Lonchura striata: one gene and its partners. The protein of the gene in region 3 purifies or fractionates together with the protein of the main gene of each other region. This does not show direct contact. Links are inferred from orthologs where the notes say so. Each region holds a gene or a part of one and is shown on either strand. Other genes may lie near its edges.

Evidence for each region.
Region 1: the proteins of DDX23 (region 3) and TSSC4 purify together in Homo sapiens (affinity purification with mass spectrometry; 3 studies listed by BioGRID and IntAct, with this or other methods). This does not show direct contact. The link is inferred for Lonchura striata from reciprocal best matches to the Homo sapiens genes DDX23 and TSSC4.
Region 2: the proteins of DDX23 (region 3) and AAR2 purify together in Homo sapiens (affinity purification with mass spectrometry; 3 studies listed by BioGRID and IntAct, counting the BioPlex papers as one, with this or other methods). This does not show direct contact. The link is inferred for Lonchura striata from reciprocal best matches to the Homo sapiens genes DDX23 and AAR2.

What each region holds. Positions count from the first base shown.
Region 1 is NC_134608.1:47,077,411-47,084,877, reverse strand, and holds the start of TSSC4 (U5 small nuclear ribonucleoprotein TSSC4), read right to left. Parts: upstream 3,031-7,467; 5' UTR 2,903-3,030; exon of another isoform or gene 2,852-2,902; intron 2,502-2,851; exon of another isoform or gene 2,307-2,501; intron 1,579-2,306; exon of another isoform or gene 1,506-1,578; intron 516-1,505; 5' UTR 428-515; coding exon 1-427. UniProt on the Homo sapiens protein: Protein associated with the U5 snRNP, during its maturation and its post-splicing recycling and which is required for spliceosomal tri-snRNP complex assembly in the nucleus.
Region 2 is NC_134619.1:13,898,719-13,906,551, reverse strand, and holds the start of AAR2 (protein AAR2 homolog), read right to left. Parts: upstream 3,038-7,833; 5' UTR 3,018-3,037; coding exon 2,270-3,017; intron 799-2,269; coding exon 569-798; intron 1-568. Other genes in the region: EPB41L1 (band 4.1-like protein 1), read right to left, coding at 7,405-7,413. UniProt on the Homo sapiens protein: Component of the U5 snRNP complex that is required for spliceosome assembly and for pre-mRNA splicing.
Region 3 is NC_134629.1:6,086,659-6,094,570, reverse strand, and holds the start of DDX23 (putative ATP-dependent RNA helicase DDX23), read right to left. Parts: upstream 3,065-7,912; 5' UTR 2,985-3,064; intron 2,349-2,984; coding exon 2,146-2,348; intron 590-2,145; coding exon 491-589; intron 373-490; coding exon 276-372; intron 184-275; coding exon 118-183; intron 1-117. Other genes in the region: RND1 (rho-related GTP-binding protein Rho6), read right to left, coding at 5,006-5,251, 6,027-6,161, 6,512-6,621. UniProt on the Homo sapiens protein: Involved in pre-mRNA splicing and its phosphorylated form (by SRPK2) is required for spliceosomal B complex formation.

The DNA of each region.
Region 1 (7,467 bases), on a different chromosome or scaffold from region 3:
CCAAGTTTTCTGGGACCATGTTACCTGAAACTGTGGTCGGAGGCAATGGACGCTTAAACCTCCCATCAACAATGTTATCTTCAGCCATTGAGGGCACAGACAGCTTGGCTGCCTCTTCCAGGCAATCAAAAATGCTCTGGCTACGGAGAGAGAAGGTAGAACTCATGCCCTTCAGATGGAACGGCTGGACAGGAGATCTGTGACCGCTGTTTGAAGAGTCGGGTGTCTCTCCTGATCTGAAATCCCCTTCATCTACAGATGGCTCCTCAGGAGATATTGTATCAACTTCTGCTTCACCCACCAGCCCCAAGTCATCAGAGTCAGAATCGCTGAGTGACACCGTGTCTGAGGGCAGAGCTCCTTCGTAGTCTTTGCCACCATCAGCCACTATCCCCAGAAAAGGTTCACCTGCCTCCTGGTCTCCCATCTTCAAGCTGTCACTCCACTGAGGTCTTTGATGTAGGCCCAGGAACAACTCTAAATACGCTTTTCCAAATGCCCAGCAAATTTAGTGCCTAGAATACAAAGGAGCATAAAAACTTAACTGTGAAATGAGAACCAAGAATGAGACCATCACTCTGTGTCATGCAAAGTAATTATAACTGCAATATAACAGTTAGCTGTGCTTTAGGGATTCCCAAGCAATTTTGCTTCAAATGAAAGCATTATTTAAGGAATGAATGCACATTAAAATTAAAGATTTACACAAGACTGAATAGAAGAATATGAAGTAATTGAAAGTAATGCTACCAAATTTCATTACAGGTTGCATCAGATGCAATTACTAAAAGATGAACATAAAGCTCTTGAGTTAATCTGAATCCCTGTCTTGTACATCTTCCAAGACTCTGCATATTACACTGTGTTTACTCACACTGTAAAAATCCACAAAAACACATCCAATTTCTCACACTTGCCTGTGGCCAGTACAACCCTTACTGCATTAGCACTGTACCTGCTGTCCCAACAGCCATCAGTGACAGATGACAAAAATAAAAGGGCCGCTGTTTTAAGCCTGCTTAAATGTGGCATAAAATACAAACTCCACTCCTTCCTTTGGTTTTATTCTCTTAAGTCATTACTAGATTCCAGGAATTGGAAAACCAGCCAGCTCAAGAAATCAATCCCATTGGATTAAGAAATCTAATTACACATACCAGGCTCACACATGGAAACTAGGAGAGATTGCAACCACAGGCCTGCAAGAGCTGGCCCTTCAGTCAGTAAATGACAGCATGATTTGAAGCCTGACTTCCAGGAGCAGCTGGAACACCTGACAGTGCCACCTGCTTGAAGGGAATCTCGCTGAATTCTGGCGGTCGATGACCCAGCTACCACTTGCTGGGCAATTGGAAACAGAGCTGGTGCACACACACATTTTGGTTCAGCTCACGTGAATTATGGAAACAGTTCTAACATATTATTAGAATAAGCTTGACTACCTAATTATAGGCTCTTCTGTAACGATGCAGTAAACAGACATGGACAGTCTGTTAGTCACTCACTTTCTCTTGAGACTGAGTCAGCTTTCCCTCCTGAGGGTCAGTTAAAGCCACCAAAGATCTCAGCACTTCCACCCTAGAAAATAAACATTTCCATCATGATACTGGAAATGTAGTTTTAAAAATAATTCTGTCCCCCTGAATTATCCAAAGCTGCAGAACTGGGTTCTAAATCTGACACAAACTCATAGTGGTATAAAAGTCTGTAGATATTACTGAATTTTTGGCAGAAGAACAGCACACAGCCTAATAACATAGGCACCAGTATATTTACCCAGCCTTCACATTCACACTGCCAACTTTATCCTGTAGAACAGAAGGGAGGTTTTAAAAAAAATCAAGCTGTAATTTGCATGTGCAAAAGAGTAAATAAACAGTATTAAATGCAGCTAAGATACAAAAATAATAGTTATGCATTGTAAACATTAAGTGCTGCTAAGTATTAAGACCATGGGTAACAGAGACTTTTGTTTTCAAAGAAACGTCACGTTCAAATTTAGGGCCAGATTGTTATGAATCACAAAACACAGAGACCTTTTGAGGAGTGCTATGTTCCATGTCAAGTTTGGCTGTCTTTGACAGAAAGGATCTGATGGCTACTTTTGAAAACACTGCCCTCCATGTAACTCCTAGTGGGAAATAATCTTCTTAAAATGATACAGCCTTCTGCTTAGTTTTGGAACATATGAAAAGTAATGACTACAACTCAGAAAAGGCCTCGAAGTGCACAATTAAATAAAATAGCTGTTTTCAGATGGCAATAGAAGTGATCATCAGGGCCATGTCTTGTCTGAGGGCACTTACACAGAAAGGAGAAATTCTGCTCCTAAGGAGATGTTTTGGCCTTAACAAAGTTGGTGGCCAAACATGCCGGCCCTTACAGCACACCAGACCCACTCACAGGTGTGTTACGGTGACGCGATCACAGCACGACTCGGGCAGCATGACGTCCCTCCGGATGGGAACGATCCCAGCGGGCTCCTCCATCCTGGCGCTGCTCTGTGCGGAGGACGGAGACCTCAGACACCGCAAACCGCGACCACGGGCCGCGCCAAAGCCCACACAGCCCCTCGGGACGGGGATCCGCAGGCCCCCGCGCCGAGGAACAGCGAAGAGGAACAGGGAAAAGAGCACCGGCCGCTGGGCACGGTGATGGTGCGGCCCCGGCTGTGCTGCCCGTCCCGGCCCCAGAGCGCTTCGCGGCCCGGGATGCTGCTGGATGCGAACCGCCCGCCCCACACGCGGCCCTCGCTGGCCCTGCGCCCCGGCCACCGCCACCCGCCCGGGCACGCAGCGCGAACCGCCGGGGAGGCGAAGGGAGGGGGGAATGGAAGGGGGAGCCCCCGTACCCCGACACCGCACAGCCCCACACTTCCACAGCAGCCGCCCGCCTTGCCCACCTCCGCCCACGGCCCGCGGCGCGCCGGGACACCGAGTCCCTCTGCCCTGCTCCACGGGGCGGCCACGGCGGCGGCAGGACTACAGCTCCCGGCGGGCAGCGCGGCGCGGAAAGGGCCGGCGCCTCCCCGCCCCGCCTCTCTCGGGGCTGCTGGGAGTTGTAGGCGGCCGTCTCGCCTCGGCGGAGGACATTTTGCGAGCCGGGGAGCGGGGCGAGGCGGCGCTGCGCGGCGGGACTACAGCTCCCAGGGCGCACCGCGGCGCCGACATTTCGCAGCCTGTGCGGGCCCTGCTCGGGGCCCGGGGCCCGGTGCTCGGTGCGGGGCTCGGTGCGGAGCTCGGTGCGGGGCTCGGTGCGGGGCTCGGTGCGGGGCTCGCCCGTGCACCCCGGAGAGCCGCGGGGCCGCCCCGGCGCCGTGAGGGGCGGACACGGCACCGCCGCCGCCTTCCGCAGTCGCAGTCTAGAAAAAAACCCATGTCACAGCTTTTGTTCTCATCGGAACAGCAGGGCTTGGCCACCACGAACACATCCGAAGTTTTCTGTTTGCTTTGTTTGGTTTCTTTTTTTGTTGTTGTTGTTGTTGTTTTTCCTCTCTCTTACGTGTTTATTCTCAAACCAGAAAACCCGAAGTCACTTGAGGCATAAAACCACTATCCATCCAAATAAAAAAGTTTCCATTTTCCGTCCCAGAGGAACATTTTTTGCGCGTGTGTCAAGAAGTGGGGCTCTGTCTGAAAATGTTTTATTGGCGCCGGCCAAAGAGACTAGATTTTTGTTTTTCCCCTTATTTCAGCAAAAAAAGTTGAAATTTTCAGCGCAAATACATTTCCCAAGAGGCTTCACTATTCAGCTTGTTTTCCCTGTGTTTAGGAAAAGGTTTGCTGTGCTGGAAAGGATTGTGCCAGACAATGCTGTGGCTGCAGGAGCTTCACTGGCTCCCTTCAAGCTCTGCCTCGCCGTGACTCACACATAATATAAACTGCAGTCACTTCATGTGCATCCTTCGTTTTTAAATACATACTTTTGCCTGCTGGAGTGTTGCTAATTACAGTAATTTATGACACGAGGTCTGTGTTTGGAACACACTTGGCAGCAGTGATGAGGTTATTGCAAAATGCCTCCTGTCTAGCTGGAGTCATGCAGTAGTTTCAGAGCAGCTCTAGAGGTGTTTCCCCATTTGGTGATCCTGTATTTTTTTATATATATACATATGGTAGTACGGTCACAGGCATTCAAGTGGGTATCCAGATGGAGGGAGGAAAGGAAAACATGAGTCTTGACGTAGGTGAGCAGGAATGGAAAGGAGGGGAGCAGTAAGCGGGCAAACAAAAGGAAGAGTAAGCCTGGGTAAAGGCTGCTAGTGCTGTGTAACAGTCTAGAGTGATGGGGAGACAGCAGGAGAGTCTCTGAGTTAATAAGGAGCAGGCAGAAAAAGGATGTGGAGTAAGCCGTGGCACATCCCATTTCTGTAAGAGAGGAGACCGGGTACAACAGACTGTTGCAGATCCTGTCTTGTTTTGAGTCTTGGTTCTTTGTTAGATGAGAGATTTAAAGGGGCAGGAAGGGGCAACACCGCCTCCAGTGTCCCTGTCACCTGTGGATGTGGGTGCTTCCAGGGACCAGCTCCATGTCTCCCTTTCCAGAGGCTACAAGTTCTCACTCTTTGCCTGGATGCTGTGTGTATTGATGACTAAGAAACCTGAATGTACTCTTTCCTTCCTTCCTGTTTTTTTAGTCATGAAATTAGCTCAGCTGGTTAGAGCATGGTGCTACCAAAACCCAAGGCTGTGGGTTTGATCACCATTTACTTAGGAGTTGAACTTGATGATCCTGGTGTATCCCTTCCAGCTCAGCCTATTCTGTGACAGATTCTGTGATATTTGGCATCGCACGCAGCGGAGAGCTGAGGCTGAGCTGCTCATTCTCCGGTGGCTGAGGACAAGGCAGCTTGCAGCAGTGGAAATGCTGCTGTGTTGGGACTTTCGCTATTGCTTGGCGACAGCTGAAATAAAAATAATGAGTCAGAGTCTGAAGACCAACAGATGGGAAAGTGTTTTCCCCTTGCTGGACTGAACTGAGTGGCTTGAAGAGGGGGCTGGAAGGTGGAACTGGGCTGCAGGACAGGCCATCATCCAAATGAGCAGGCTGTATCCAGCGTGCAGGCTCTGAGGGGCGGCTCATTTGCAGGGATGGCTCCATGTGTCTGCAGGAAGCCCTGTGTGTGGGGGTGGCATGTGAAAATGCACAGCAGCCTCAGCCCCATCGTAGGCGCCTCCTGCTCCTTTCCTGCAAATAAATCTCTCCTTTGGCCCGTCCAGTAAATGTTTCCACTGCTCCCTGGCAGGCTCCTGCTGCTGCTCCTGCCCTCGGAGCCTGGGGTAGGTGTGTGGGGTAGAGACCACTGGTCCCTCTCCTCAGGGCTATAGGAAAGCAGCAGGCCATTATTCCCCAACAGCCACCCAGATCCTGAAAGCCAGATAGAGCAGCAAGATGCATTTTTTCAACATCTCCTGCATCTGGAAGGAATGTGGGGGTTACTCAGATGTGGCCACATGCAGCTGATGCTGGAGCTCTTGAGGGGAGGTGGGGTGGGAAAGGAGTATTTTCCTGCAGGCAGAAAGGAACAGCAGAGTCATGACCACTGCAGCCTTCTCTGCTGGGAGAAGGCAGTCACACCAAGCCAGACTGGTACAGCCTGAAGAAAATAAATGAGTTGTCCTCTCCCATTTGCCAGAATGATACCCTACAAACGGCTTTGAAATCCCTTGTGGGGTGGGTTTTCAGAATTCAGTGTTTGATACCACCTCTCTTCTACATTAAGCTTTGCTTACCTGTTTTACTTTGTACTTTCATTCGGTCCTGCAAGCAGATTAGATTTATTCCAGTGCTGTTTACCCATGTTGGTGCTATTTTCCCCTAAGGTAACTACATAAAATTAGTTCCCGTGGAGTGAGTTTTAATGCATGCAGGCAGGCTATGAAGGTCTTTATCAACTCTATTCTTCACAATAACAATGTTATTGCCAGCCTATAGAGGACCTGCAGGGACACACCACAACCCTTTATTTTTTTTTTTGTTAGAGATATTGCATGTGTGGGAGGGAAAATCCTTTATGAGCAAAATTAATACTCTCTGCAATTACTCCAGTTGTTTAAAAGAAACAAAAACAGTTGGGGGTGTCTGTTCATTTTGATTTAACTACAGAATATTTGCACCAAGAAAACCTTTCTCCCAATCTTGCTGCTTTTTCCTTTTCCCTATCCCTGTCCCAAAGTGCCTGATACTAAAAAAAAATATGCAATGAAAGGCTGAAAAAGGTCACTGGAATCAGTGACCTTGAAGTTAGCATTAACAAAAAAACCCCACAGAACCCTAAAACTCCCCAGATCTCTTGTTCCAACAAGAGCTGTGGGAGCAACATCAACCAACACTGAGCCTTGCATTAACAGCATGAATCCTTGCCGGAGGAAATCTCAGCAGTTTGCTGGCAGTCAGCAGGCAGGGTGTTGTGTGCATGCCATCTCGCCTGGCCCAACACCAACACCTCTCAGTACTCAGCAAAGCTGTGTTCTGGCATGAGGGAATGCCCTAGCAAAGCAGGGCCAAGAAACACTTAAAAAAAAAAAAAAAAGTAAAAAAAAAATGTAAAAGGTGTAATTAAACTGTAATTAGAAGTGTTACTTCCAACCATTAGCTCTTGAGCTGGGTCATCTAAATCCAGTGAGAAACACCAGGCAGTTCACAGTGGTTGCAAAGTTTTTATACCCTCTAATGTGTCTGCAAGTGTGAAAACAAGGTGGGTTTCAGTTATGCAGCAGTTTTAGCACCTGGGAGGTGTTTTCTATTTGCTCCAGGTCTCTGAGCACTGAAGTGAAAGCATCAGGCTGCCAGAGGTCAGCTGAAGGAGTCGCCCCGAACAGCACTTCTGCATCCCATTGCTTAGGTAATGCCCTGTGCAAGGCAATGTGATGCTCCCCAGGCTGAAACTGAGGAGTGGTCAGGAAAAATATGCAGCCTTTATCTAGTTCAGGTGCACAGCGTGGTACTTATGGGACTTGGGGTTCCTAGCCTGTGTTGACAGCTTACTCAAGAGCTGGTCAGGTAGGTCATTGTTTCCCTCTCCGGTTCGGCACTCACTGGTGGCAGATGTTTCCTCCCTCGGGGTTGTCATTCCACTGGTGCAGCCACAGTTCCCAGCCCTACCACAACCCCCACAGTGAATTGAGATTATTGAAAGACTCACCTTTTTTTCTTCCCCTAACTGGAAGGGCCGTGCTGTCATGCCCAGCAAAGGAAACAGTGGTTCAGAGCAGGAATGTGAGCACAGCCACCAACACATCCTTCATCCCTGAGCCCGGCAAGCGGAGCTGGCAGGCACAGGAGGGTGCGGCCCCATCCAGCAGTGGGGGTGCTTTCCTCTGCAGAAACCTCCACCATCAACAGCTCTGCCATGGGAGAGCTGGCTGCATTTATTCCCTCTTGAGAGAATATTGCAACTCTTAGTTACAGCTTCGACAACCTCTGATTACCTCAAGGCATAAGCAATTTATATATGTTAATCACAGC
Region 2 (7,833 bases), on a different chromosome or scaffold from region 3:
AACTAAGCCAGTTTGCTGCACTGCCAGCACTGTCACCAGTAGTGGAGCAACTGCTTTCACTGGGGCTGAGCTACACATCTGCCCCACCTGTCTCAGCAGAAGCAGCATCTTTTGCATTTTGGAATAACCATAAATTCCCTCTGGAGAAGAACCTGACTACAGGAAATCCTCAGCTGTGCTAAGGAATGGAAAAGCTGCTTAAACACTATCACTGCCCTTAGCTCACTAAGGCTTTGCTGCAGCTTCCCTGCACACTGAGCACACCATTCCAAAAATCAGCATCATCAGTCCTTCATGCCAAAGGTTTGTTGTTGTTTTTTCTTTTCAAGAATGAAAGGCATTCTGGAAAAATTAAACAAACAGACACCACACTGCACTTGCCCAGCCTCTCTTGTAGCTGTTGAGCTGAATTTCTTACTGAATAACAGAGGGAAAAAGTCAAAATAACCCCTGTGTGCTCAGACAGGTTCCTGTCTCCCATGCAGCTTAATTCCTTTGGCAGTTTCACCCCAAATTTGACACTGCCTTCCCTCCCACTCAACTTCCCAGGGAACAGCCACAAACACACCTGTAAGGTGCTGGTTAAGAAGTTGTCCTGGGAGACAATGTCCACAAAAAAATCTGCTGGGATCTCGTTGAGCTGGTGATAGAGCACGGAAATGAGGTTGATGTAAAGGTCTTGGTACTTCCCTATGGCCTCCTCTGAGCGGCACAGGATGTTCAGGAGCCTCTTCCAGTGCTCAAAGGCATCGTACACATTCCCAATCAGGAAGCAAATGAAGGCAAACTGCAACTCAGCTGTGTGGGTTCAGAGAAGGGAAACAAAACAAAACATGTAAGACTAAACAGATATCCTGTGAATGTGTCATACACAAAGCTCTGCAAATGGTTTCTAAACTCTGGTTTGGCTTTTGCAAAGTGCATTCCTCAAGTGCATACTCAAACACTGACCCTGTACTGCTCTTCAGCTGGAGCAAAACAAAGCAGAACGGGGCAGGTCACCTGTAACTGTGATTATCAGCACTGGAGAAGGACTCTACAGACAGCAAACAACACCAAACAGCCCCAAACATCAAGGCAGACCCTGCTATTATACTTTGAGTGTCCAGCCTGCCAGTGCTGAGTGTCCAGCACAACATGGGACTGCAAACAGCACTGTCCTGGAATTCTGGGAGAGATCAGCAGTGCCTCAACGAGTGTGTTTGTCTTGCTGAATTAAGAGCCAGGGTTCATCACACTGGATGCTTGGTATCAGCTGTTTTCCCACCATTCCCTAAGGCAATTTGTTCTCTCTACATCCTACAGTTGTCTTTGGTAATTTTGAAGAAGAATAAATTGTATAATGTTAATGTACAAAAAAAATGGAAGAAGGGACAAACGAAGGCTTATTCCAAACCTGGGAGGGCTTCTCCCTCCATCCTGCAACAAAACAAAACCCTGCTCTAGGACCTCCACAAACCCAGCATTTATTTGTATCACAGGCTGCAAAGCAGGCTGGAGAACAGCTGAGCTCCGGGAGGTGTGGTGCCCCCACAGCAGGGCTGGCACAGCCTGGACACTGCCACTGTCACTGTCACTGCCACCAGCAGCACACGGAGCACGGCCAGGAGGGGCCGGGCCCTGCAGTAGGAACCACCAGGCCCACAGCTCCTGCCCAACCTAGCAGGAAGAAGGGGCCGGGGGTGCCCATCCCCACTCGGTGCTCTCAGGACTCCGTAAGAGATGTCCTCACGATGTTCCCTGAACAGCTAAGGTGCCAGGGCCACTTGTGACGGCTGCTTTTGACTTCATCGGGGCAATCAGGGCTGCAGCACCACGTTCCCACACCAGAGCCATAGAACAGAATTACAGAATATCCTGAGTCCGGAGGGACCCACAAGAATCACCCAGCCCAGCCCCCGTCCCTGCCCAGACCCCCCGACAACCCCGTCCTGGGCACCCCTGGCAGCGCTGCCCCAATGCTCCTGGAGCTCTTGGGGCCGTGCCCATCCCCTGGGGAGCCTGGGCAGTGCCAGCACCTCTGGGGGGAGAACCTTTTCCTAATATCCAAGCTAAACTTCCCCTGAAGGCCCTCGGGTGCTCTCCCTGGTCACACAGAAGAGAGATGGCAGCTGCCCCTCGGGAGGAGCTGCAGCTCCGGCCTCAGTCTCCTGCAGGCAATGCCAGAAACTGCCCAAACTTCTGTCCTGCGCCGCAGAGCCCTCGGCGCGCCAGGGAACCGGCAGAGGTCCCACCTGGAGCACAGGAATGCCATTTCCCGGGCGCTCACCGAGCAGGCCCAGCGGCCGGCCGGGGTAGCGCTGCTCCATCACCCGCTGCAGGGCGTAGCTCAGGTCCATGCTGTGCCGGGTGATCTCCTCGGGGGTGGCTCCGTCGGGGAAGGCCTGCCGGGGCAGCTCGGAGAAGCGGATCTGGGTGCCGGCCCGCGGCCGCATGCGGGGCAGGCGGGCCAGCCCCTCGGCGTAGCTGCGGCACTGGGCGCCCAGCGGCGGCCGGCGCTGCCCGGCGCGGTCCCGCGTGTGCCGCCCCGCCGCCTCGGGCAGCACCTCGGCGAAGGCGCAGATCTGGCCGCTCTCGGGCTGCAGCTCCTCGGCCGCCGCCTCGCTGATGAAGCTGCTCAGCGACACCCACTTCTTCAGCGTCTCGTAGGGGTAGGGCCCCAGGAAGGGGTCCAGCTCCCGCAGGCTGTCCCGCAGCGCCTCGCCCTGCTCGGGCGGCTCGGGCCGCACGGCCTCGCCCGCGGGGTCCCAGCGCAGCACCCGCACCTCGCGGCGCCGCAGGCTGAGGAAGCGGCCGGAGCGCGGCCCCGCGTCCCGCCCGCCGGCGCCGGCCGCGCTGCAGTGCACGAAGTGCAGCCCCGGCGGCACCATCTTCACGCCGCGGAACCGCGGCCCCACGGCCCACGCGCTGTAGTCGATGCCGAACTCGGTGCCCTCGGGCACGTCCAGCACCACCACGGCCGCGCCCTCGAAGAAGAGCTGCCGGGCCAGCTCGGGGTCCGGCCGCAGAGCCGCCATGCCGGGCCGCACCGAGAGCGGCGGCGCTGCCCGGACATCCGGGCCCGGCGCGGGAGGAGCCTCCGCGCCGCCCGGCCCCGGCCCCGGCCCCGGCCCCGGCCCCGGCCCCCCGGCCCCGGCCCCCCGGCCCCGGCCCCGGCCCCCCGGCCCCGGCCCCGGCCCCCCGGCCCCGGCCCCGGCCCCCCGGCCCCGGCCCCGGCCCCGGCCCCGGCCCCGGCCCCGGCCCCGGCCCCGGCCCGCCGGCCCCGGCCCCGGCCCCCCGGCCCCGGCCCGCCGGCCCCGGCCCCGGCCCCGGCCCCGGCCCCGGCCCCCCGGCCCCGGCCCCGGCCCCGGCCCCCCGGCCCCGGCCCCGGCCCCCCGGCCCCGGCCCCCCGGCCCCGGCCCCCCGGCCCCGGCCCCGGCCCCGGCCCGCCTGCGGGAACTGCTCCCGATCGGTGCCGCTCCGTCCCTGTCCCCGCCGGCCAGCCTCAGCCCCCGGCCCGCCGCTGCTCCCTTCTGCCTCTCCGTGGCTGGCGGCTGCCCCCGCTGACCCGCTGTCCCCCAAACCGGTCGCCAGTCCCTCCAGCTGCCTGCCATTCCCCTGGGCCCCCCGTGCTCCCAGCCCCGCAGCGGGACAGACGGACAAGAGCCGTGCCTGGGACTGATGGAGCGAGAGGCCCCCGGGACAGACACTGAGACCCTCACTGTGACACAGACACCGTCCCAGCACCACGTCCTCCCTTCCAGGACAAGACAGGGCCGGGGTCCCCAGGGATGGGCAGCTCCCTCTGCCTCCCGCACCCCGAGCATTCTCACAAGCCCGAGGCTCAGCACCTGCCACACGAAGCCGCTCCCGGCTCCACCAGCCGCAATTCCCGACCTGGCAACATCATCTGCCCTTGGTGTGCTGAGAGCCCACCTGCAGAACTGCGTCCAGCTCACGCTGGAGGGGCGCAGAGATGTTGGAATGAGTCCGGAGGTGGCCATGGAGATGCTCAAATGGGCTGGAGCCCTCTGCTCTGGAGGCAGGCTGGGAGAGCCAGGGGTGCTCAGCTGGAAAATTAAAGGCTCCAGGGAGAGCTCAGAGCCCCTTGCAGGGCCTAAAGGGCCTCCAGGAGAGCTGGAGAAGGACCTGGGACAAGGGCCTGGAATGCCAGGACATAGGGAATGACTTCCCACTGCCAGAGGGCAGGGTTAGATGGGATATTGGGAGGGAATTCTTCCCTGTGAGGGTGTGGAGGCCTTGGTACAGGTCGGCCAGAGCAGATGTGGCTGCCCCTGGATCCCTGGAATTGTTGAAGGCTAGCCTGGATTGGGTTTGGAGCACCCTGGTCTAGTCAAAGGTGACCCTGTCTGTGGCAGGGGATAGAACACGATGAGCTTTATATTCCCTTCCAGCCCAAACCATTCTGGGATTCTGTGATTTCTACAATCTTCTCTTTAGACAAAGCCTGGTATTTCCATGTGCAGTGCTCCCTGTTGCAAGGTTCCCTCTTCACGTCTCCATCCTCTCAACAGGAAAGAGTTAACCGAGGCCCCAGGCTGATTTAGCATCAAACACATTTATTTCACTTTTATTGAATACAAGAACAGTGAGCACACACGCATACACCACTGAGCACTGAAAAGGAGTATGACCAAAGGGGGTGAGGGAGAACAAGGGAAGAGAAAAGGAGAGTTAGTGAAGGAACAACAGAGCGTTGCAGTTGGTTGGTAAGGTGCTTCTCAAATAAAAATAAATATTATTATTATTATTATTATTATTATTGTTACTGTTATTACTCATGCAATTGCAGGCCAGGTTCAGAATGAATTTGTGGGATTGGGTAAAAACAGGCACTCATGTCTTCCACCCCTTTCCACAGAAATGGCCCCTGGAAGAAAAAAAGCAGTGACCAGCTATCCAGAACAGAGAGTGGTGATGGGCAGGCTGGGGCTGAGCAGCAGAAAGCTGCAAGTCACCAGGAGAACAAGCAGTGAGCTTTTTTTCTTTGCTTTTATTATTTTCTTTTAAGAAAAAAAAAAAAAAAAAAGGTTTGGACAGTGCCACTGATGAACACGCTGTGGGAGCCAGGGGCTGCTCACTGCAAACAGAACTCCCTCAGCCCAAGTGCACAGGGAGCCTCAGTCTACTCAATCCCATGGGAGCCTTGGCTTCCCACGCTGGGCACAACACCAGAAGCAACTCTGCAGGGTCACAGCGGCCTCGGGTGGGCTGGCGAGGGGCCCCAGCCAGGTGGGCTCCCCTGGCCCTGAATTGTGACATGTACTGGTGAACGCCAGCACGGGGCAGACCCCGGCCCTCTGCCACTTCTGGCAGTGCCTCTGCTGGGCACAGCTGGCTGGGCTGCATTGGGAAAACAAACGAGAGAAAAGGAGCCTCTTTGCAACTGCCCTAAGTGCTGCTAGGCTGGGGCTGTGCTCTCTGGAGACACGTGGCTGGCAGCTGGGGATGGGCACTGGCAGCAGCCCCTGTGCTCTTGCCTTCCATGCCTTGCAGGAGAAGCCTCTCTGCCAGGAGAACAGACTCACTGGTGAGCAGCTGCCAGGGAGCAGCTCCCTCCTGGGACAGCGCAGGTGGGAGCAGGGTCTGCCCACGGCATCCTCATGGCTCAGGAGCTCCTGCTCGGGCATCCTGTGAGCCCTGGCAAGGCCTGGCAGAACACACCTGGTCCTGGGCACAGCCTGTGTGAGGGGTGGGAGACTAAAGGCAAAATGGTGCAGAATCATGGCTCCTTCGGTTTCTGCAGGAGCTAGAAACAATTCCAAGAAGGAAACCCATTTCTTTCCTTTCCTTTCTGGTTTTGGTTGGGAGCCTACCTGAACTGCCTGGTTCACAGTGTATGGGGCCCTGGGCTTGGCCCACGATCCCCTTCCAAAGGCAGCCCTGGAGGGAGCCTGTGGCTGAAGGCCGAGCTGGGAGCAGCCCCACTGACGCCTCCTGGGCTCTCCCATCCAGCCTGGAACGCTGGGGACACTCTGCAGGGATGGACACAGCACGCTCCCTGCCCTGCCCATCCCCAGGCAGACAGGGGAGCACTGCCACGGCCCTGCCAGCGCTGTCCCCAGCCCTCTGCCATCACACCCCTGGTAGTGGGGGAGGCAGGGCACAAACAGCCCCTCTGCCTTTGACCCTACAAAAAAACTCAAGAACCTGCCCTACTGGGAACCAGAAGCAAAGCAAAGCCACCCCACTACCGCAGGGCTCCTGCAGGGAGCCCCGAGCCCTGCGGCTCCCGTCTCGCTCCCCGCTGACCCTGGGGGCAGCTCTGGCTCGGGGGCTGGGAGCCCATCGTGCCTACGGCTGGAGCTGGAGCCTTCCGTGCCCCTCCAAACCTCGCCACCACACACTGCAGACCACCGGCAGGACATTCCTGTCCTTTGCCCCCTCCCCTCCCCCCAGCCAGCAGCAGCCAAAACCTTTCCCATTCCTTCTTGTGGGACTCAGAGTCCCATGTGTGATCTGGGTCTCCAAGTACCCCAACCACAGTCAATCCATGAGTTAACAATTTCAAAATGTTGGCACCGTCTGTACCATCACTGTTGAATTATTTCAGCATTGTTCCCTCCCTCCCCCTCCGTTATATAGAATAATATACAGAACTGAAATGCACATCCATATGAAACCCCACAGGCTGCTCGTTAGAGATGAGAAACCATGTACATATCATTTGCTTTTGTTTGAAATGAAACCAATTCCTAAATACCTTCAGAGAACAAGAGGTTGGACAAGTGCACAGAGAAGATAAGGAAGGGAAGGGGAAAAGTTAACAGAACCCCCCCAAAAATGCAAAAAACCAGCATGGAATGAGGAGAAGGGCGAAATGACACTTGTGAATTGGAAAATAACTCTAAGGTCATAACTTCAATGTTTTTCTCTCTTCTTTCCAGAGGTGGGGAATGGTTTTGCTTCTGCTTGTGGTTTTTAACTTCAGTTTGCTTACTTGCTTTGTTGCAAAGCAGTTTTCCTTTCCATTCAGTGTGCAACAAATGAACTCATGATTGTGTGTCCTTTCATGTAACATGCAAGATGGTGGCTTATTGTATTGTTACCAAGATTATGGTTATTATTACGACTTTTTAAATCTGATTTGATCACCAATCCACGAAATTCTTCAATTTATCTGCAGAGGGTTGCCTTTGTTTGTTGGTGGTGTTGTTTGCTATTTGTTTCCAGCATATAGCAGCAGTGCAAGGATGCATTTTGTTTCCTGTTTTTATATATATATATGTATGTATGTATATATATATATAATATATTTGCTATTCCTTTTTTAAAAATTTTTGTCTCTTGCCATGAACATTGCAGCCAGGATGTCTATGTCTTGCTGACAAATCCAGCATGAAGGCTCCTTCTCCCCTGTTCTCCAGGTTTGAATATAGATGTTGGCTTCCAGGAACATGTTGGTCAGGATTCCTGTGCAAGGCAGATAGAAAGGACCAAGTCATGGAGTGCCAGTCCATGGAGGCTCCTCTTTGGATGAAGGCACTGGATAGAAACTTTGCAAACACTTGGGGCCACAGTTTACATTTAGTTAGCAGGAGCTCTGGTTATTGGCAGGAATTCAGGCACTGGGGTGGTGTTGGTGCATGAAGGACATGAGGGGAGCTGCTGCTCCCTCACTTTAAGCCATTCCACTAAAACTGGGTGGATCCTATGGGATGCAGGAATGTCTGGACTTGTTTGTACTGTGGGACAGGATGAGGCAGCTCCACCAGCCTCTCATGACCTTCCCAGCTGCATTACTGGTCGCTTTTCCAGGCTTAAAAGCTGCCCATCAGAACCTTCATATGATAAAGAAATGGAAAGTCCCAGTTCTGAGGAGCCTCTCCAAAT
Region 3 (7,912 bases):
CTCTGCACCCCCCAAGTTTCTCAGCCCTCCCTGTTCCCTCCTGGGGTCCCCCGTGCAGCATCCCCACAAACATCCACACCCCCAGAAGAGGGAAGAGGCTCCTGTTCCTTCTCCCACCTTGGCTTCTGCCTCCTCTTCTGCCTTCTTCTTTGCCAGCAGCTCCTCCAAGGACAGCGGCTGCGCCTGCAAGAGAGGCCAGACATCAGCACCGCTCCTGGAATCCCCTGGAACCACTCCCCAGGGCCCTCCTGGAGCCACTGCCACACCCTCCCCACCTTCTCCTTCTTCAAGGCATTTTCCTCCTCTTCCTCTGCTTTCCGGGCCTCCCGCTCCTTCCGCGACTTGGAGTCCTTCCCCCTGCCCGGGGACAAACTTCCAAGGAAAACAGCATGGAATAAGAGACACCACCAAGCACAGCCCTGAGGGATCTCCAACCTCCAGGGGGTTTAGGGGAGAGCAGGAACCCCTCAAAGAAACGGGCAGGACCCACCTGGAGCGCTTGCGGTCCTTGTCCCGCCGGTGCCCATCCTTGTCCCTGTCCCGCTCCTTCTTGCCGCGGTCCCGGTCGCGCTCCTTGTGCCGCCGATCCCTGCGGGATGGGGGATCAGAGCCCGGCCCCACAGCCCTCACACCCCCCTTCTGGGGTTTTGGGGGGCCGGGCAGAGGTTTGGGTTCAAACAGCTGAGATGTGGCTCGTTTGGAGATTTCCTGGCCAATGCAGCAGTGAGCGGGGTGGGCTCAGTGCTCCTGCCAGCGTGCAGGAGCACACAGAATCACAGGATATCATTATTTGCAGTGCTTTTATTAAGAGCTTGGAGTCAGGGGTACAGCCCCAAATCTGACTCCGACACCCATTTTGAGCTGAATGTATTTTATATTCTATCCTTCTATAACTTAGACATTAATTTGCATATTAATTATTACATTTACATTGTTTAGGAACACAAATAATCACAGGATATCATTACCTGCAGGTATTTTTATTAAGGGCTCTGGGAATCAGGGGTACAGCCCCAAATCCGACTCCAACACCCATTTCAAGCTGAACATATTTTATATTCTATCCTTATATAACTTAGATATTAATTTGCATATTAATACATTGTTTAGGAACACAAATAATCACAGGATATCATTATCTGCAGGTGCTTTTATTAAGGGCTCTGGGAGTTGGGGTACAAACCCAAATCTGACTCCGACACCCATTTTGAGCTGAACATATTTTATATTCTATCCTATATAACTTAGATATTAGTTTGCATATTAATTATTAAATTTACATTGTTTAGGAACACAAATAATCACAGGATATCATTATCTGCAGGTGCTTCTATTAAGAGCTCTGGGAATCAGGGGTACAGACCCAAATCTGACTCCGACACCCATTTTGACCTGAATATATATTATATTCTATCCTTCTATAACTTAGATATTAATTTGCATATTAATACATTGTTTAAGAACACAAATAATCACAGGATATCATTATCTGCAGGTGCTTTTATCGTTACATAACTCACATATTAATTATTAAACTTATATTGTTCTGTTGTACACACTGACATGAGTTTCTCATCATCTTTCTTAGCTCACTGACCACAGTTTCTCATGATTATTCTTATGATTAAACAATAATTATATTTAATTACTAAACAATCATCACATCTAACAATATTTCAATTAGCATGTCCTAGCTACACAGTGCAGTTGTAGCAAGTCCGAGTTCTCCATGTGCTTAAGGAATTTATTTTTCCAGGACTTACTAAGCTGATTTTTCCTTTTAACCCTAAATCCCCACGATTTTAAAACCCTTTTACTATCACTCCCCATCCCCAATTCCTGCTGGGAGGCAGGGTTGGGAGGCAGCCTCAAACTTTAAAAGGGAAGCTAGTTTTAAAATAAAATACCGTTATTAGTTTTTTCTTTGTGTCCTCTTTAAAAAGGTATTTAAAAAGCTTATTAATTTTTTCAATAAAAATTTGATTTTTTCAATTAAAAAATTCATTTTTTAATTAAAAAAATGATTTTTTTTAAATTAAATAAATATTTTTTTAATTAAAAGAAAAAACAAGAATAATCAGAACGTTTCTCCTCCCGCTTTCCTTTCCCGTTGCCGAAGCCTTCGAAGCCCCGGGGCTGCCTCACCTCTCGGTGGATTTGGAGCGGGAACGGGAACGGGAACGGCTCCGCCGCCGCTCCCGGGATCGGTGCCGCTTCCGCTCCTTGGCGGGGGAGCTTTTCCGGTCCCGCTCCCGCTCCCGGTCCCGTTCAGGGGAGCGGGAGCGTTTCCGTTCCTCCTTCACCGGGGATGAATCCCGATCCTTCTTGTCCGCCAGTTCTCCGGCCATCTGCGGGGGGATGCACCGGGAGGGTCGGGGACGCACCGGGAGGGCCGGGGGACGCACCGGGAGGGTCGGGGACGCACCGGGAGGGTCGGGGACGCACCGGGAGGGCCGGGGGACGCACCGGGAGGGCCGGGGGATGCACCGGGAGGGCCGGGGGATGCACCGGGAGGGCCGGGGATGCACCGGGAGGGCCGGGGATGCACCGGGAGGGCCGGGGGATGCACCGGGAGGACCGGGGAATGTACCGGGAGGACCGGGGAATGTACCGGGAGGACCGGGGGATGCACCGGGAGGACCGGGGGATGCACCGGTGAGAGTGGCGAACCTGGGAGACGGAACAGAGGGACCCCAGCAAGGAGCGGGAAGGGCTGGGGGGCCCCGAGGAGAGAACGCAGAGGGAAGGGGGGACCCCGAGAGGGCAGAGGGAGCCCCGGGGGGGGTGGGTGCGGGGAGTCCCGGGGAGCCCCGGAAAGGCTCCGGCCGGCCCGGGGGACGCGGCGCAACGGCGCTCCAGGCCCTGCCGCCGGTGCCCAGCAGCGGGGCGGTGCCCGGTGCCGCTGCTGCAGGGCTCTCCGGCCGCCTGGGCCCCCAGGAGGTTCCCGCAATGCCCCTCGCTCGCTCCCGCCGGTCCCCGCTCACCGCCGCGGCCCCGGGTTCAGCGCCGCCGCTCCGCCGCCATGTCTGCCGCGCCCGCGGGGCACGCCGGGACGGCGCGGGACTACAGCGCCCGGCAGCCCCCGCGCCCTTGGACTACGACTCCCGGCAGCCTCTGCGCCCTTGGACTACGACTCCCGGCAGCCTCCGCGCTTTTGGACTACAGCTCCCGGCAGCCTCAGCGCCCCTGCGCGGTCGCAGTACCGCCGCGCTCCGTGATCCTTCCGCCGCGCGGCAGCGCCCCCCTCCCCATGGCAAAGAGTCCCCCGGGACGGTGTCCCCGTGTCCCCGAGCCCCCCCGCAGGCACCTCCTGCTCACCCAAGTGAGGTCCCAGAGCACCCCAAATCCTGGGTGGGCCCCTCCCGAGTCAGTGTCCCCCATGTCCCTGCGCACCCCAAATCCCACGGGGACCCCCCCAGCCCTGTGCGCCCCAGACTGGCCGGGGACCCCCGAATCAGAGTCCCTGCAGGAGCCCCAGACCCCCACTGCGTCCCCATGCACAACACAGGGGGGTCCCAGGTGGAGTCTGGGGGCAGGAGAGGTGGGGGGACCCTTTTGGCACCAACCCCCCCCCACCAAAGACACCCAGCCAGGGATTCTGCCTTCTGCACCAGCACCCAGGGGTGACAGCACAGCCCCATGTCGGTGTCACCATCACCAGTGACACCGACACATCCCGAAAGTCCCAACAGCCTCCAAAAAGCAGAATCCCTCCCCAAAGCACAGGGCCAGGCAGGGCTGCACATAGGTAGGTGTTATATTTCTGATAATAAATAAGCTTTTTAATAACACTGACATGGAACAGAGACACCCCCCCCCCCCAAAGACAGTCCATAAAACAGCCCCCCACCCCCCTCCCCAACCCACAGGGTCCCCCAGGGCCAAGCAGCAGATGAGGGGTGGGGGAAAGGGGGAGAGAACAGGATGAGTCCATGGATGAGTCCCATGATGTGCACCCCAAACCCCACAGGCATACCCAGGACAGGGTCCCTGCGTCCCCCAAACCCTGCAGTGACCATCCCAGGTGGATGTCCCTGAGGGTCTGGAAACCCCAAACCCTCCAGGGATCCCCCTGGTTGATGTGTCTGGGGTCCTGTGTGCCCCAAAACCCCCAGGGACCCCTCAGGGTTGATGTCCCCAAGGGTCTGGGCACTCCAAACCTTCCAGGGACCCCCCTGGTTGATGTCCCCAGGGGTCTGGGCACCCTATGGGTTGATGTCTCTGGAGTCCTGTGTGCCCCAAAACCCCCAGGGACCCCTCAGGGTTGATGTCCCCAAGGGTCTGGATACCCCAAACCCCTATGGGTTGATGTCTCTGGGATCCTGTGTGCCCCAAATTCCCCAGGGACCCCTCAGGGTTGATGTCCCCGAGGGTCTGGGCACCCCAAACCCTCAAGGGACCCCTCAGGGTTGATGTGCCTGGGGTCCTGGGCACCCCAAACCCCCCAGGGCCCCCTCAGGTTTGATGTTCCTGAGGGTCTGGGCACCCCAAACCCCCCAGGGACCCCTATGGGTTGATGTCTCTGAGGGTCTCGGCACCCCAAACCCCACAAGGACCCCTCGGGGTTGATGTCCCCAAGGGTCTGGGCACCCCAAATCCCCCAGGGACCCCTCAGGGTTAATGTCCCCAAGGGTCTGAGTACCCCAAACCCCTATGGGTTGAGGTCTCTGGGGTCCTGTGTGCCCCAAATCCCCCAGGAACCCCTCAGGATTGATGTCCCCGAGGGTCTGGGCACCCCAAACCCCCCAGGGACCCCCTCAGGGTTGGAGACCGGGGTGAAGACACCCCCCAGACCCCCTCCCCACAGGGGCAGCCCCCAAGGCTGTGGGGCTGGCGGGACAATAGCAGCACCCCCAAACCCTCCTTTTGAGTGGGGGGGGGGGGAGCTCCAGACTCCAGAACCCCATCCAGCCCCCCCACCCCATTCGGGGGGCTTCGGGAGCGGAGCGGGGGGTCCCAAAGGTGATCGTGGTGTGTATTTAGCGGGGTCATTCCTTTCCCCCCTTCACATGACGGAGCAGCTTTTTGCTTTTTCCTTCTTGAAGGCGGAGGAGATGAGCTCGGAGCGGCTGGGGAGGTGCAGGAGGCGCTTGGAGAGGCTGCGGGGGGGGCTGCGGGGCGGCGGGCGGGGGGCTCGGCTCAGGCAGAGCCCCGAGGCGCTGCGGAAGATGCTGTGCACGCTCTTCTCCGACGTGAAGGCCGAGCACTCCAGGTACCCCTCGGCACCCAGCTGCCGGGCGGCCGCGCAGCCCTGCGGGCAGGGGACGGGGCAAAGTGAGCCCCAAAACAGCAGGATAAACCCAAACCCATGGGGACAGCCCCAAAGTAAGCCCCAAGACAGCAGGACAGCCCAAAAAACCCACCAGGACGGCCCAAAAAACCCACCAGGACGGCCCAAAATTGAGCCCCAAAACCGTGGGACAGCCCCCAAACCCACCCCACACCATGCAGCCCTGCGGGGAACCACCCCCGGCAGGCAGGGGATGGGGCAAAGTGAGCCCCAAAACAGCGGGACAGCCCCAAACCCATGGGGACAGCCCCAAAGTGAGCCCCAAAACAGCAGGACAGCCCAAAAAACCCACAGGGACAGCCCAAAAAACCCACCAGGACAGCCCAAAACTGAGCCCCAAAACAGTGGGACAGCCCCCAAACCCACCCCACACCACGCAGCCCTGTGGGGAACCACCCCCGGCAGGCAGGGGATGGGGCAAAGTGAACCCCAAAACAGTGGGACAGCCCAAAAACACACCAGGACAGCCCAAAAAACACACCAGGACAGCCCCAGACCCACCCCACAGACTCGGGACAGCCCCAAAACCCACCCGGACAGCCCCAAACTGAGCCCCAAACCCACTGGGACAGCCCCAAACCCACCCCACCGACTCGGGACAGCCCCAAAACCCACCGGGACAGCCCCAAACTGAGCCCCACAAACACCCCAAACCCATCCCACAAACACCGAGACACCCCAAACTGAGCCCCACGAACACTGGGACCCCCCCAAAACCCAGCAGGACACCCCAAACCTGCTCGTAGGAGACGGGCGCCTGTTTCTGGTGCGAGAGCTCCAGCAGCGTGCTCAGGTCCGTCCTCAGGTCCGTCTTGCAGCCGATGAGCAGCACCCGCGTGTTGGGGCAATAATCCAAAATTTCCGTCTTCCACTGAGGGGTCGAGGCACACAGCTGCTCTCAGGGCAACCCCAAAAACCTCTCCCCACAGAGGCACCCCCCAGGACAGTGTCCTGACAGCCCTGAACCCCCAAACCCCACAGAGATCCCCCTGCATTGGTGTCCTCCCATCTCGGAGCCCCCCAAACCCCACGGGGACACCTCGGGGTGGTGTCCCCACATCTCTGAGCACCCAAAACCCCACAGAGATCCCCCTGCATTGATGTCCTCACATCTCTGAGCCCCCCAAACCCCACGGGGACACCTCAGGGTGGTGTCCCCACATCTCTGAGCCCCCCAAACCCCACGGGGACACTGTCCCGGGGCCTGAGCCCCCTCCCCACCTTCTTGGCCGCACTGTCGAGGGTCTCGGGGCGGCTGACGTCGAAGCAGAGCAGGACGGCGTCCGAGTCGCTGTAGCACAGGGGCCTCACGTTGTCATAGTAGGGAGAGCCTGGGGGAAAATTGGGGGGGTCACAGCTCAGCCCCCCCACCCCAGGGACATGGGAAAGGGGGTCTGGCTAAGGGACACGGCCCCTCAAATGGGACACAGCCCCCCAAAAGGGACAGAGGGACACACAGCTCTAGAGACCCCCAAAAGGGACAGAGACCCCGGTCCTGCCCGGGGTGAGGGCACGGCTCTAGAGACCCCCAAAAGGGACAGCTCCCCAAAAGGGACAGAGACCCCCAAAAGGGACAGAGACCCCCAAAAGGGACAGAGGGACACACAGCTCCAGAGCCCCCAAAAGGGACACAGCCCCTCAAGAGACACGAAGCCACCTCCTGCCTGAGGTGGCGTGCACCGCCTTGGAGCCCCTCCCCAAAAAAAGACAGAGCCCCCCAAAATAGACACAGCCTCACTCCTGCCCAGCATGAGGGTTCACAGTTTGGGAGAACCCCAAAAGGGACAGGGGAGCACAACTCTAGAGCCCCCCAAAACAGACACAGAATCTCAAAAGGGACAGGGGGGACACCGGTCTAGACTCCCTTAAAAAAGACAAATCCTATTCATGCCTGAAGTGTGTGCACCGAGCTCTAGAGCCCCCCAAAAGGCACAGAGCCCCCCCAAAACAAACACAGCACCCCAAAAGGGACAGAGGGACACACAGCTTTAGAGCCCCAAAAAACAAACACAGTGCCCCAAAAGGGACAGAGGGACACACAGCTCTAGAGCCCCCCAAAAGGCACAGACACCCCCAAAACAAACACAGCTCCCCTCCTGTTCAGGGTGGTGGCTCACAGCTCTAGAGAACCCCAAGAAGGACATAGGGACACACAGCTCCAGAGCCCCCCAAAAAGGACACAGCCCCCCAAAAGGGACAGAGGGACACACAGCTCTAGAGCCCCCCAAAACAGACACAGCCCCCCAAAAGGCACAGACGGACACACAGCTCTAGAGCCCCCCAAAAGGCAGAGACCCCCAAAACAAACACAGCAAGAGGGACGTAGGGACACAGCTCCAGAGCCCCCCAAAAGGGACACAGCCCCCCTGGGGCCGGGGAGAGGGGCACAGCTCTGGAACCCCCCCAAAACGCCACCTCCGTCCCCGCAGCCCATCAGCTGCATCGCGCCTTGGCGAGGCAGCGGGAAATGGAGCCCGCGGTGTTTATGTAACATCCCCCCCGCCCCCCGTTTTGGGGAGCCCCGGCAGCACCCAGGGGTGTCGGGGTTGGGGGGGAGAAGCCGGAGGAGGGGGTGGGACACGCTGCCACCCCCTCGGGGTCCTCGGGGACACGGAGCCACCA